Linked DNA regions of Arabidopsis thaliana. The protein of the gene in region 1 interacts with the protein of each later gene in a pairwise test. Each region holds a gene or a part of one and is shown on either strand. Other genes may lie near its edges.

The links.
Region 2: the proteins of CSTF64 (region 1) and AT5G60940 interact in a two-hybrid assay, tested with the Arabidopsis thaliana proteins (one study listed by BioGRID).
Region 3: the proteins of CSTF64 (region 1) and AT5G10350 interact in a two-hybrid assay, tested with the Arabidopsis thaliana proteins (one study listed by BioGRID).

Annotation. Positions count from the first base shown.
Region 1 is NC_003070.9:26,997,224-27,000,974, forward strand, and holds the start of CSTF64 (cleavage stimulating factor 64), read left to right. Parts: upstream 1-2,150; 5' UTR 2,151-2,382; coding exon 2,383-2,419; intron 2,420-2,521; coding exon 2,522-2,600; intron 2,601-2,706; coding exon 2,707-2,881; intron 2,882-2,974; coding exon 2,975-3,011; intron 3,012-3,107; coding exon 3,108-3,340; intron 3,341-3,438; coding exon 3,439-3,516; intron 3,517-3,620; coding exon 3,621-3,656; intron 3,657-3,751. Other genes in the region: CPB (Subunits of heterodimeric actin filament capping protein Capz superfamily), read left to right, coding at 72-185, 433-515, 604-677, 841-960, 1,088-1,183, 1,479-1,562.
Region 2 is NC_003076.8:24,520,953-24,524,703, forward strand, and holds the start of AT5G60940 (Transducin/WD40 repeat-like superfamily protein), read left to right. Parts: upstream 1-2,000; 5' UTR 2,001-2,139; coding exon 2,140-2,244; intron 2,245-2,459; coding exon 2,460-2,543; intron 2,544-2,625; coding exon 2,626-2,735; exon of another isoform or gene 2,736-2,804; coding exon of another isoform or gene 2,805-2,827; coding exon 2,828-2,897; intron 2,898-3,013; coding exon 3,014-3,097; intron 3,098-3,195; coding exon 3,196-3,273; intron 3,274-3,360; coding exon 3,361-3,431; intron 3,432-3,532; coding exon 3,533-3,584; intron 3,585-3,673; coding exon 3,674-3,731; intron 3,732-3,751. Other genes in the region: AT5G60930 (P-loop containing nucleoside triphosphate hydrolases superfamily protein), read right to left, coding at 1-165, 381-634, 712-864, 966-1,112, 1,449-1,559. UniProt on the Arabidopsis thaliana protein: One of the multiple factors required for polyadenylation and 3'-end cleavage of pre-mRNAs. May be responsible for the interaction of CSTF with other factors to form a stable complex on the pre-mRNA.
Region 3 is NC_003076.8:3,256,037-3,259,787, reverse strand, and holds the start of AT5G10350 (RNA-binding (RRM/RBD/RNP motifs) family protein), read left to right. Parts: upstream 1-1,976; 5' UTR 1,977-2,041; coding exon 2,042-2,152; intron 2,153-2,242; coding exon 2,243-2,345; intron 2,346-2,487; coding exon 2,488-2,558; exon of another isoform or gene 2,559-3,574; coding exon 3,575-3,751. Other genes in the region: EMB3010 (Ribosomal protein S6e), read left to right, coding at 99-156, 250-358, 456-728, 816-1,054. UniProt on the Arabidopsis thaliana protein: Involved in the 3'-end formation of mRNA precursors (pre-mRNA) by the addition of a poly(A) tail of 200-250 nt to the upstream cleavage product.

The DNA.
Region 1 (3,751 bases):
GGGATGATACAGTACTTCGTGTTCATAGCTAAATTGCTATTTGTTGGTTCTTGTAATCTTTACTTTTGCAGGTCACCTTGGTCAAATAAGTATCTTCCTCCGCTAGAGGATGCTCTTTACCCATCTTCTGAATTAAGAAAGCTTGAAGTTGAAGCCAACGATATCTTTGCGATCTATCGTGACCAGTGAGGTTCTTTACCTACCTCGTTCAACATGAAAACCATGTAGTGAAAGTAATTTGAGTTATCTAAGACGGAGACATAGTTAGCATCTGATCTGAAAAAAAGGCTTGCCTAGTCGTGAGATTTATCTCATGGTTTAACAATATATGATATGTGTTTCATTCTTCTAATGTATCCATTAGACTGGAGACTGAAAAAAGCTTGCAAAGTTACCAAAAGAACACCTGTGTTGATCAGTTTTCTTTTCCAGGTATTATGAAGGTGGTATATCTTCAGTCTACATGTGGGAGGATGATAATGAAGGCTTTGTGGCATGTTTCCTTATCAAGAAAGGTACATTCTTTCTGTAGAGTTCAATAACACTGAATGTTAGGCAATAAAAACTCTTTACCTGAGCTGTTCTGGTTTTTATTTTTCGAAGATGGGTCAAAGTCAGGTCATGGTCGGAGGGGATGCCTGGAGGAAGGAGCGTGGGATGCCATACATGTTATACAGGTGACTCTCTTAACATACCATTACCAAGCGTGCCTTATGTGTTTTAAAATGTTGCCCATTTTGTAACACATACCACCCTCAATTGCAACTTTATCATAGTTTCCTAAGCAGCTCTTTAATGAGACTTCATATTTTGCTTCTAATGCCTGAGGTTCTCAACTAGGTTGGTTCAGAGGAGGAGGAAATGGCACAATATTGCTTAACAAGTACCATCATGCTTTCTCTGACAACTGATGATGAGTCTTCGGGCAAATTCGGCTTATCTGGATCAATTAGAAGACAAGTAAGTATTAGCTTCTATTTAGCCCATGCCTTCATAGATAAATAGTTCCTGGTATGAATTGTGATTCAATGGAGGAAAACCAAATATCTGTAAAAGAATAACATTATTCTGCTACTGTTGAAATTAGATGAAAATGGAGCTAGCAGTAGCTGACGGACACCTGTGCAATATGGGGAGAATGATTGAAGAATTGGAAGGCAAACTGAGGAACTCACTTGATCAGGTTCTACCTCCAATCCCTGCACCAATTCCACAAACTCCGTCTACTTGTGTAACCGCCATATATGCTGAAAATGGTTTCTTAATTACCGGCATTCGGATTGCTTAGTTAGTTAAAGCTCATGCTACAGTTGTTCTGTGGTGCTTGGCAGACCCCAAAATAAGTAAACGAGAATTGTAGGATAAGTTTTAGATCAAATCACTTTCTAACATCTCATGAATTAATCTAGACCAAGAGAAAAGAATAACGTAATGTGCGTAGCTTCAAGGGTTTGAGAATTGTTTGGTGAAAAGCGCAGGTTTACTTTGGGAAGACAAGAGAAATGGTTTGCACATTGCGTCCACCAGCTGAGATTGTACAAATGAGATTGCCTGACACCTGACCTGATGCTCCTCCGATCACGCTTTATGTAAGAAGGTCTCGATATTTGTTTGTTTTGGTTGGTCTGATCTTAAACGCTTCTCCGAGTGTTTTGTGTGGATGTCTCTTACTCCCATGTTTTTCTCTGACTTCACCATCATGTGACCATCTTTTCCCATAAATATAACGAATGATGCAGTTTTAAAAGTCGTATAAATATTATGGAAATGCTTGGTTTTCTCCAAAAGTATAGAATAGCAGAATCAGTGGTGGCTGCGACATGTTGTGAACTTAGGACCTAAAGCATCAAACCTCATTTAGTGATATCGCACTGCCTTCGACATGCATACCGAATGGACAAAGAAAGTAAGAATCCTTGATGTAATCGCCATATGAGTCCGTTTAGCGCCTAGGTGCCATCTAGACGGTCAGTAACTAATAACAACCTAATCAATAACTATACAAATATTTTTGTCCAACATATAAAAAAAGATATTAAAATAAATTTCCTTTTAACCAAAATATCAGTTTCCTTTTTCGGCTTTCTTTTTTTTATTCTTGTTGTAGAGAGAGATATAAATAAATATCGACGACGACGGTACTAATCGTTTTGCTAAATAATTTCATTCGTCTTCTCTTCTTAACTCTTTAAAACCAAAAACTGAAAAATAAAGACAAAAAGTCTCCTATCGACGACGAATACGAAAGATCTCTCTCTTCAGAAGAATTTAACGAAACTCAACTGTTTCGAATTCGATTTGAATCTCGACCCGTTACTTAGCAGGAAGAAGATGAAGCAGCGCTTCACCTTCTTCTTCGTTATCTTCTCTTAATAATCCCCAATGGCTTCATCATCATCCCAACGACGCTGCGTTTTTGGTAACTCACTCTTCTTCTTCTTCTTCCATTATCACTCTGTGAATTCTCTTCGATTTTGGATTCAATTGGCTTAAAGTTTTCGACTTTCTTCGTCTATTTTAGTTGGGAACATTCCTTACGACGCGACCGAGGAACAACTTAGAGAAATTTGTGGAGAAGTTGGACCTGTTGTCTCGTTTAGGTCAGTTTTATCGTTCAATTATGATTTAGGGTTTTGATAAAGGAAACACTTTTCTTCAAACAAACGAAACACAGAAGCCTAAAAAACTTTGCTTTATTGGATTCAGATTAGTTACGGATAGAGAAACTGGTAAACCAAAAGGCTACGGATTTTGTGAGTATAAAGACGAAGAAACAGCATTAAGTGCTCGTCGTAATCTTCAGAGTTATGAAATCAATGGTCGTCAATTAAGAGTTGATTTTGCTGAGAATGACAAAGGCACTGACAAAACCCGTGATCAGGTTACTCCTCTCTCTCTTTCTTCTTTCAATGTTGGATGGTTTTTAACTGTTGTCAAGAAGTTATAACTAAAGATGGTAAATTTGGGTTTTCAGAGTCAAGGAGGACCTGGTTTGCCATCTACTACTACTGGTATGTTTTGTTTTCAGTCTCTGATACTTTACTGACTGCAATTGTGTTTGGATGAACACAAACTTATCGTTGTTCTTCTTTCTTTTGGCTGTTTAGTGACAGAGTCTCAAAAGCAGATTGGAGGGCCAGTAGATTCAAATATGCATCAGCCAGTTGGTCTCCACCTTGCTACAACAGCTGCATCTGTTATAGCGGGTGCGCTAGGTGGTCCTCAGGTCGGTTCGCAGTTTACGCAAAGTAATCTGCAGGTTCCAGCTAGTGATCCCCTGGCTCTTCATCTAGCCAAGATGTCAAGAAGTCAGCTTACTGAAATTATATCGTCCATTAAGGTGTGAATCTTGATATCGTTTTTTCTTTCTTTTTTTGGGTGCATTGTTATACTATTGGAAGCGAGTTGTGTGATGTGATTGTGTTCTCTCAATGTCAGTTAATGGCTACACAAAATAAGGAACATGCTAGACAGTTGTTGGTTTCAAGACCTCAGTTGCTAAAAGCTGTTTTCCTGGTACTCACTCATCCTCTTATTGTGCAAATCATTTTTCATTATTGACAAATATTTCTTATGATACTTACACCATATTTGAACCTTTACTTTGTCTACCCTTGTAGGCGCAGGTAATGCTTGGGATTGTGAGTCCGCAAGTGGTAAGTTTTCCATCTTATCGAACAGTTTTGTGCTACTTCCTTCTTTATCTATCTGTCATGTCTTAAGAGGACTATTGCCATTCTTGAATTGTGCA
Region 2 (3,751 bases), on another chromosome or scaffold:
CGCATCCCATCAGCTCCTGTTCGTTTTGCACGTTCTGACCCCGCTAGGTCAACCAAATGAAGCTTTGCACATAATATATCTTCACCTCCATCTTCAGTTGTTGTGCAAGAACCACCGGCAATCTTCTTTTGTTCCAGAGTGATTGTGAAGATTGCATGGGACCGACTAAAAAAGCAAGAAACAAACATTACATTAGTATACTTGTAAGAACTATAATTTCTTAATATTGGTCATAGAATATGATCTAATAATGAAATTTTATCTTGATGCAAAAGTACTCATAACTCTACTAGTGGATCAGCCACATTAGCTCTTTCAAGTATTGAAGTAGTTATAAAGAAAACGGAATGAAAACAGTGCATTTCAAATTACAAATTCACCTTGACTGGCTATTCATGTTTGTGCTGCCTGTAGCTCGAGACAAAGAGCCTCGTGCTAGAAACGAGCCCATCTCCTCTTTCGTCTTGACTTCAGCCTCAGTAACTCCAGCCAATGTTATTCCTCCACTGGCAGTTTCCCTGATTTGAATTGGAGCTCGTGAGAGAGCAGTGTGCTTTGCTTGAACGCCACTGTCATTTTTAAGGAGGGCCGAAGAATTTGAGTCCAGCAAATCAAAAACTTCTTCCTTAAAAATCTGCATTTAAAGGTAAAAATCAGCAAGTGAAATATACAAATCAAATCTCAAATAACAAACACAGAAGCTGTTTCTACCTCAATAAAAGACACTCGTATCAATAGTTCAGATGAATCTTTGGTTGTCTCCACTCTTCTAAATATATCCTCCATAACGTTTGGTATAACGCCACCATTTGTGCAATCTCCACTATAATTAGTACCCATGGTATAGGTTTTACCTGAACCAGTCTTCAATTACAACAAACAAACAATGAATTTGATGGATCAAACCAAAAAAAAAAACACGTAGCTAAAGGGAACTGCAGAGTTTAGAGAATTTAAAAACAAACCTGGCCATAAGCTAGAACAGTGGCATTGTATCCTTTAAACAATGCATCCACAAGTGGAGCAACACAGTGATTGTAAATCTCCGAACACGGATAGCCACCATTTCCGTAGACGAAATCATAAGTAAATGTATGCGAACCAATATGTACCTGTTTCAGTTCATAAGAAATTCCAACAAAATGAGTTTTATCAAAGTTCGAATCTTTAAACATATTTTCAGCAAAAAAAAAAAAACATTCACGCATCAATTGATTTCCCGAATTGAACCGAATCAGTTCTATGTGAAAACAAATCCCAAATGTTTCAAAATTCGAATCTTACAGCAAAACTATTAACTGATGAAGAATAAACGTTATTTCTCATTCGCGCATAAATTTGATTTCCCGAATTTAACCAATATATAATCCCACGAATCTTATCAAAACTGAAAAACTCTCAGAAGAAATAAACGCAGAAAAAACGAAAAACCCTTCCAATTGAATTACCTGTGGCTCTTTGGGAGCCACGGTGATGCAATCTGTGCATCCGTTCAAAAGCTCCGGTGTAATTAACGGACGGATGTTGACGGCAACCCTAACGCACTCTGTGCTCTCCATAACCGCCGAGCAGAAACCCAGAAAACCTCTGGTTACGGATCTAATCCAGAAACGAAACCTCAAATCAACACCACGAAAATGTAGATCCAATCCAGAAACGGAGGAGCTAGGGTAATTTTCGAGAAGAAAATTCTCAGGAAATGCGATTTTTGAGAATTCAAATTTTGAAGAGAGAGAGAGAAAGAGAGAAGGGGGACTTTTGTTTATTTTGAGAGGTCAACAATTAAAAAACAAGAAAGGCAAAACTTAAAACCATTATGGAAATTAAAATTATAAGCGCCGCTCAGGTACGAATTCAAATTTTCTTTGAGACCGTTACGCACGTGTCATGCACATGATCATCACTAAAATATCATAGGCCCATTATTTTATATTTCAGCCCATATTTTAATATCAAAGGCCCATTAGTTTATATTTCAGCCCATAGTTTTAAATATTGGCCCATGTTGATCTTTGTTTCTGAAGAGGAGGAGGAAGAAGACGATGGTTGACACTTGACAGAGTAAGCTCAGAAATGGCGACTCTGGTTTCGAATTGAACTTGTGAGGAAGGTTTTTAGGGTTATAAGGTGATAAAGAAAATGGGGAATAGTGGAGATTTGGAGCAGGCTCTGCAAGATGGGAATATCTTTAGACAGCTCAATGCTCTTATTGTAGCTCATCTCCGTCATCACAATCTCTCACAAGTATGTTTTTGCTATCGTTCTTCATCTCACTCAGATTCCAATTTTGTATCTTTACATACGCACGCCAATTTGGATTGGGATTTCTGGGTCTATCTATTTTTGGATTGTTTTTTGAAACTTTGAAATTCATTTATAGATGAAGTAAGTGCTAAAAGTTTGGATTTTTCATTACTGTTGAATGGTTAAAATTTTGATTTTTGAGATCAAATGTTTAGGTTGCAAGTGCGGTTGCTTCAGCAACAATGACACCATTGAATATTGAGGTTCCTCCAAACCGTCTTTTGGAGCTTGTTGCAAAGGTTATTGTTTTGCACCCTCTGAAGTTTCTGTATATTTTTTTGGAGTCTGTGAAGAAATGTTTTGGTTCTGAGATGAGAACAGGGTCTTGCAGCGGAGAACAATGGGACATTGAGAGGTGTTTCTTCATCAGTCTTGTTACCTTCTTCTTATGGATCAATCACTACTCCTCGAACAGCTTCTATCGACTTTAGGTGATGTCCCTTTCTGCAATAAGTTATGTTTCTTAAGAGATGAAATCAAAACTGCTTACCATCTAAAGAATGTTTGGAATTGTTCGAACTAGTGTTAATCATGCGAAGGGCTCATCAAAGACTATCCCAAAGCATGAATCAAAGACGCTATCAGAGCACAAGGTATATATATTTGCGTTGTTTATGTCTCAGTAGACACAACTTTGTCTAACCCTTAATAATGTTTTTCTCCAAGCTATTTTATTTTATTTTGGCTGATATGTTTATGAATTTTGTAGAGCGTTGTTAGGTGTGCAAGATTTAGTCCTGATGGAATGTTTTTTGCTACTGGTGGTGCAGACACATCTATTAAGCTCTTTGAGGTACCAAACTTTTGTCATATTCATTGTACCAACTTTTTTTCCTTCAAGCATCGTCAAGAGTTGATAGTTCTGTGGATATTCCGTGTTGTTTCTTTGAGGTGCCAAAAGTTAAACAGATGATTTCAGGAGATACTCAAGCTCGACCATTAATACGGACTTTTTATGATCATGCTGAAGTAAGCGTTTCTTTCTTCAAAATTTTTGCCGTTCTGATTTTGTGTATCTCTTAAACAGGCTCTTAAATTAGTGATAATCATTTGCAGCCGATAAACGATCTTGATTTCCACCCTCGGAGCACAATCCTAATATCTAGTGCCAAAGACAACTGTATAAAGTATATATTTACGTTTTCCCTACCTAAAATGAATTCTCTTGGTGATTACAAGAAAAGTTTGTGTTCAACTCGTTTTTGTGTCATTTCTTGTGACGTGGTAGGTTCTTCGACTTCTCCAAAACCACGGCTAAACGAGCATTCAAAGTTTTTCAGGTAGAGATCATGGTTGTTATATCAGTTTCTGTTTAGCTACATGTTGAAAACACTGTATCTCATCCAATCTTTAACTCCAAATTCTGCAGGATACCCATAACGTGCGCTCTATATCTTTTCATCCGTCAGGAGAGTTTCTTCTTGCAGGTGATTTTCTATTATAGTTT
Region 3 (3,751 bases), on another chromosome or scaffold:
ACTGCGTTGGTCTGATATATAACCAGTTCTGAATCTGAAAATCAACATTGTCGATTTTGGTAAAGATATTGAGTTTCATTTCTGTTGTTTTGATGCAGCCGCGCCTTTTTCGACAAGAGGCTCTCTCAGGAAGTTAGCGGAGATGCTCTAGGCGAGGTGAAATTTTTTCTCCTGGTTCAGTGTTTTTTTCTGATGTCTTGTGAGTTCAGTATACTTAACAGAATTGTGTGTGTTTTGAGCTATTTGCAGGAATTCAAGGGATACGTATTCAAGATCATGGGAGGATGTGACAAGCAAGGTTTCCCAATGAAACAAGGAGTTCTCACTCCAGGGCGTGTCCGTCTTTTGCTTCACCGAGGTACTAGATTCCACCCCATTGATAAAATTATACAGCTTCTCTTTTTTTCATTAATCTTCTGTGTTTTTTATTTATGTGATCTGGTTATTGTGTTTAGGTACTCCTTGTTTTAGAGGACACGGAAGGAGGACTGGAGAGAGGAGACGAAAGTCTGTCCGTGGTTGCATTGTGAGCCCTGACCTGTCTGTTCTTAACTTGGTCATTGTGAAGAAGGGTGTAAGTGATCTTCCCGGGCTTACCGACACTGAGAAGCCAAGAATGAGAGGTCCCAAGAGGGCATCAAAGATCCGCAAGTTGTTTAACCTTGGAAAAGAGGATGATGTGAGGAAGTACGTTAACACTTACCGCCGTACCTTCACAAACAAGAAGGGTAAGAAAATTAGATTCACTTAAAGAGATAATTGAAAACTGTTTATACGATTGATGATTTACTAATATATGAGGCTTCCATGTGCAGGCAAGAAGGTTAGCAAGGCTCCTAAGATCCAGAGGCTTGTGACTCCATTGACCCTCCAGAGGAAGAGAGCTAGAATTGCTGACAAGAAGAAGAGAATCGCCAAGGCTAACTCTGATGCAGCTGATTACCAGAAGCTTCTTGCCTCCAGACTAAAGGAGCAGCGTGATCGCCGTAGTGAAAGTTTGGCCAAGAAGAGGTCTAGACTCTCTTCTGCTCCTGCTAAACCCGTTGCTGCTTAAACTGCCTCAAGATTAAGAAATTTCTTTCTCTCTAGTTTGTTTCTGGTCGTATTTAAGTTGCTCCACAGACATGAGAACGCCATTTTGAACACTATTTTTGGTTTCTGTTTTGTGTCAACTTTTCAAGCCTTTTATTATATCAAAGTTTTGAACCTCTTAGTAGTACGTTTGTTATATTTAGTTCTTATTTATATGCCCGTTTGTTGATAGTAAATGACCAGATGTCTTCATTATTAGATAAACTGATGACCTACCTTTAAAGTGTTTTTTCCAAAAAGTGTAATGTTTTGAACCAAAACTCAATCTCGATTAAACTCTTTTAATATGGAGACCCGTCGCTGAAGACTGACTCCTTTCTTCAAGCTGGTGTTGATCGGAGACTATGGAGTCGGAGAATCGCTTCTACTGTCTCCTTATGCCATCTTCGCCGAAATCCTCTGTTTTACAACAGTGGTAAGTAAAAAACTAAAAAGGTTGGAAGAAGACGAAGAACTTTGCTTAACTGCAATTAAAATTTATTTATTTAACAAATGGCTGTAGATATGTTTTGGGGAAAAGTCATTCTTATCAATACCTTTGGAATAATTTGGATCAAACTGTATCATATTTTTGTGGATAATTTGTCTCTGATATAAATTAATCTGATCCATATTATGCAGTATTATTTCACAGACCTCTTAATTTGGTCCATAAATTTAATTTGATCCATGATATAATTTGATAAATTATTCACAAGCCTGTTTCTTCCATAATGTTTGGGGCCTATGATGGGCCGAATTGAATTTTGAAGAAAAATCAAAACCTTCAGATTCAGTTAGAGTGTTATGATAATGGGCTCTTGTAAGTTTGTAACCGAGGCCCAATACGAGACGACGTCGTTGTTTGCAATCGACCTATCTGGATCGGTAGGAAAAGTGTGCAAGTCGTTTTCATTCACCAAAGCGAAGCTTTATTCGTTTGCTTGAGCTCCGAAGAGTGGAAACAAAAATGGAGGAAGAAGAGCACGAGGTTTACGGTGGAGAAATCCCTGAAGTCGGCGATACGGATGTTCCCGATCCGGATATCGATATGTCTGCAGCCGATGAGGACGCCGTTACGGTCTACTTCTGCTTCGTTCGATTTTGATTTTGTTGTATATCGTGTGTATACATCTGTTTGATTTTTGGTGTTTTGATTTCATGGAATCAGGAGCTTGCTGAGATGAAGAGGAGATTAAAGGAGATGGAGGAAGAAGCTGCTGCGCTACGAGAGATGCAAGCAAAAGTCGAAAAAGAAATGGGAGCTACTCAAGGTTTTGTGACTCTTTCGTTTTTTTTTTGAATTCGTTTGCTCGAGACTATCTTTGAATTTGATATACTAGGAGGAATCTGTTGATTGTGTAGATTACTTTTAGGAAATTGAACTTCTGTTTCTTGCTTAACAATTTGTTTCAGATCCTGCTAGTATGGCTGCAAATCAAGAAGGAAAGGAGGAGGTGGATGCTCGATCAGTTTATGTTGGCAATGTAAGATAGCTTATTTTCTACTTCATGGTATCTCTTCTGTGCTTGAATCATTGTTTCATCTAAACGGCTTTGATCTGTTTGCCAATCTTAGTGTGGATTAGCTTAGGCTGACTATTTTGTTAACTTAAATTTCATCTTTGATAAAAGAACTGCTTGCAATTGTGTCTTAGCTTTGTTCTTTATCCCTTGAGATTACTGTTAGAATCTGTATCAAGAGGCTTTCTCTAAATTTAATGTTGTGAAGTAGGTTCTTTATTGTTTCTAGTTGAAGAGTTTGACCTCTATGTCCTATATAATCGCAGGGTTGTTCTCATAAATGAAGTTCTTAATAGCTCTGGGTTCTCAACTAAGTTTTGTGACTGTTTTGCTAGTTTCCTTGTTGTAGTGTTAAAATCATTCTTCCCGTGCAATTTGATGATAAAAAAGCTATAAAAAAAATGTTGAAAGTAAAAAGAAAAGAGAAGGAAAAAAATTTGAAAAAAAAAAAAAAAGATATAGCAGAAAAATGTGGAGAAAAATATTGCATGAGCTTGAAAAAAAAAAGAAGGATTTCTTGAGAGGAAAAAGGGAGTCTGAGTGAGTTGGGTGGGATTAGAAAGCAAGGTTTCTGTTATCCTTGAGGAGATGGTCTCTGAACTCTGAAGAGCTGGATCAAGATGCCAAGATGCTGGATGCTTTCTAAACAAGACCCAAAGCTCCGCAGGGAGGATACTTGGAGCTAATACAGGTTTGGTTGTTTGCGGATTTCGCGAGAGGCTGCAGTTTGATGCTGGCCTTTTATCATGTATTTTTGAACTCACGCTCATAAAATGAAGACTTTCATAGCGTTTATGTACCATACATAACTTAGGTCTAATGTTAGACATGGAAAATTGCTTTAGAACACACAAGTTTGTCTCTTGGCTTCCCTTAGTGGGGTGGTTAACTTATCTATCTGTTACGTTCTCAGTAAGTCATGGTTTTAGTTGTAATAAGAATGCTTGTGTTGTACTAAGACCTCATTATCCACCCTGCAGGTCGACTATGCCTGTACACCTGAAGAAGTGCAACTACATTTCCAAACATGCGGAACAGTCAACCGGGTAACCATTCTAATGGACAAGTTTGGACAGCCAAAGGGATTTGCTTATGTGGAGTTTGTAGAAGTGGAAGCCGTGCAAGAAGCTCTGCAGCTGAATGAATCAGAGCTTCAT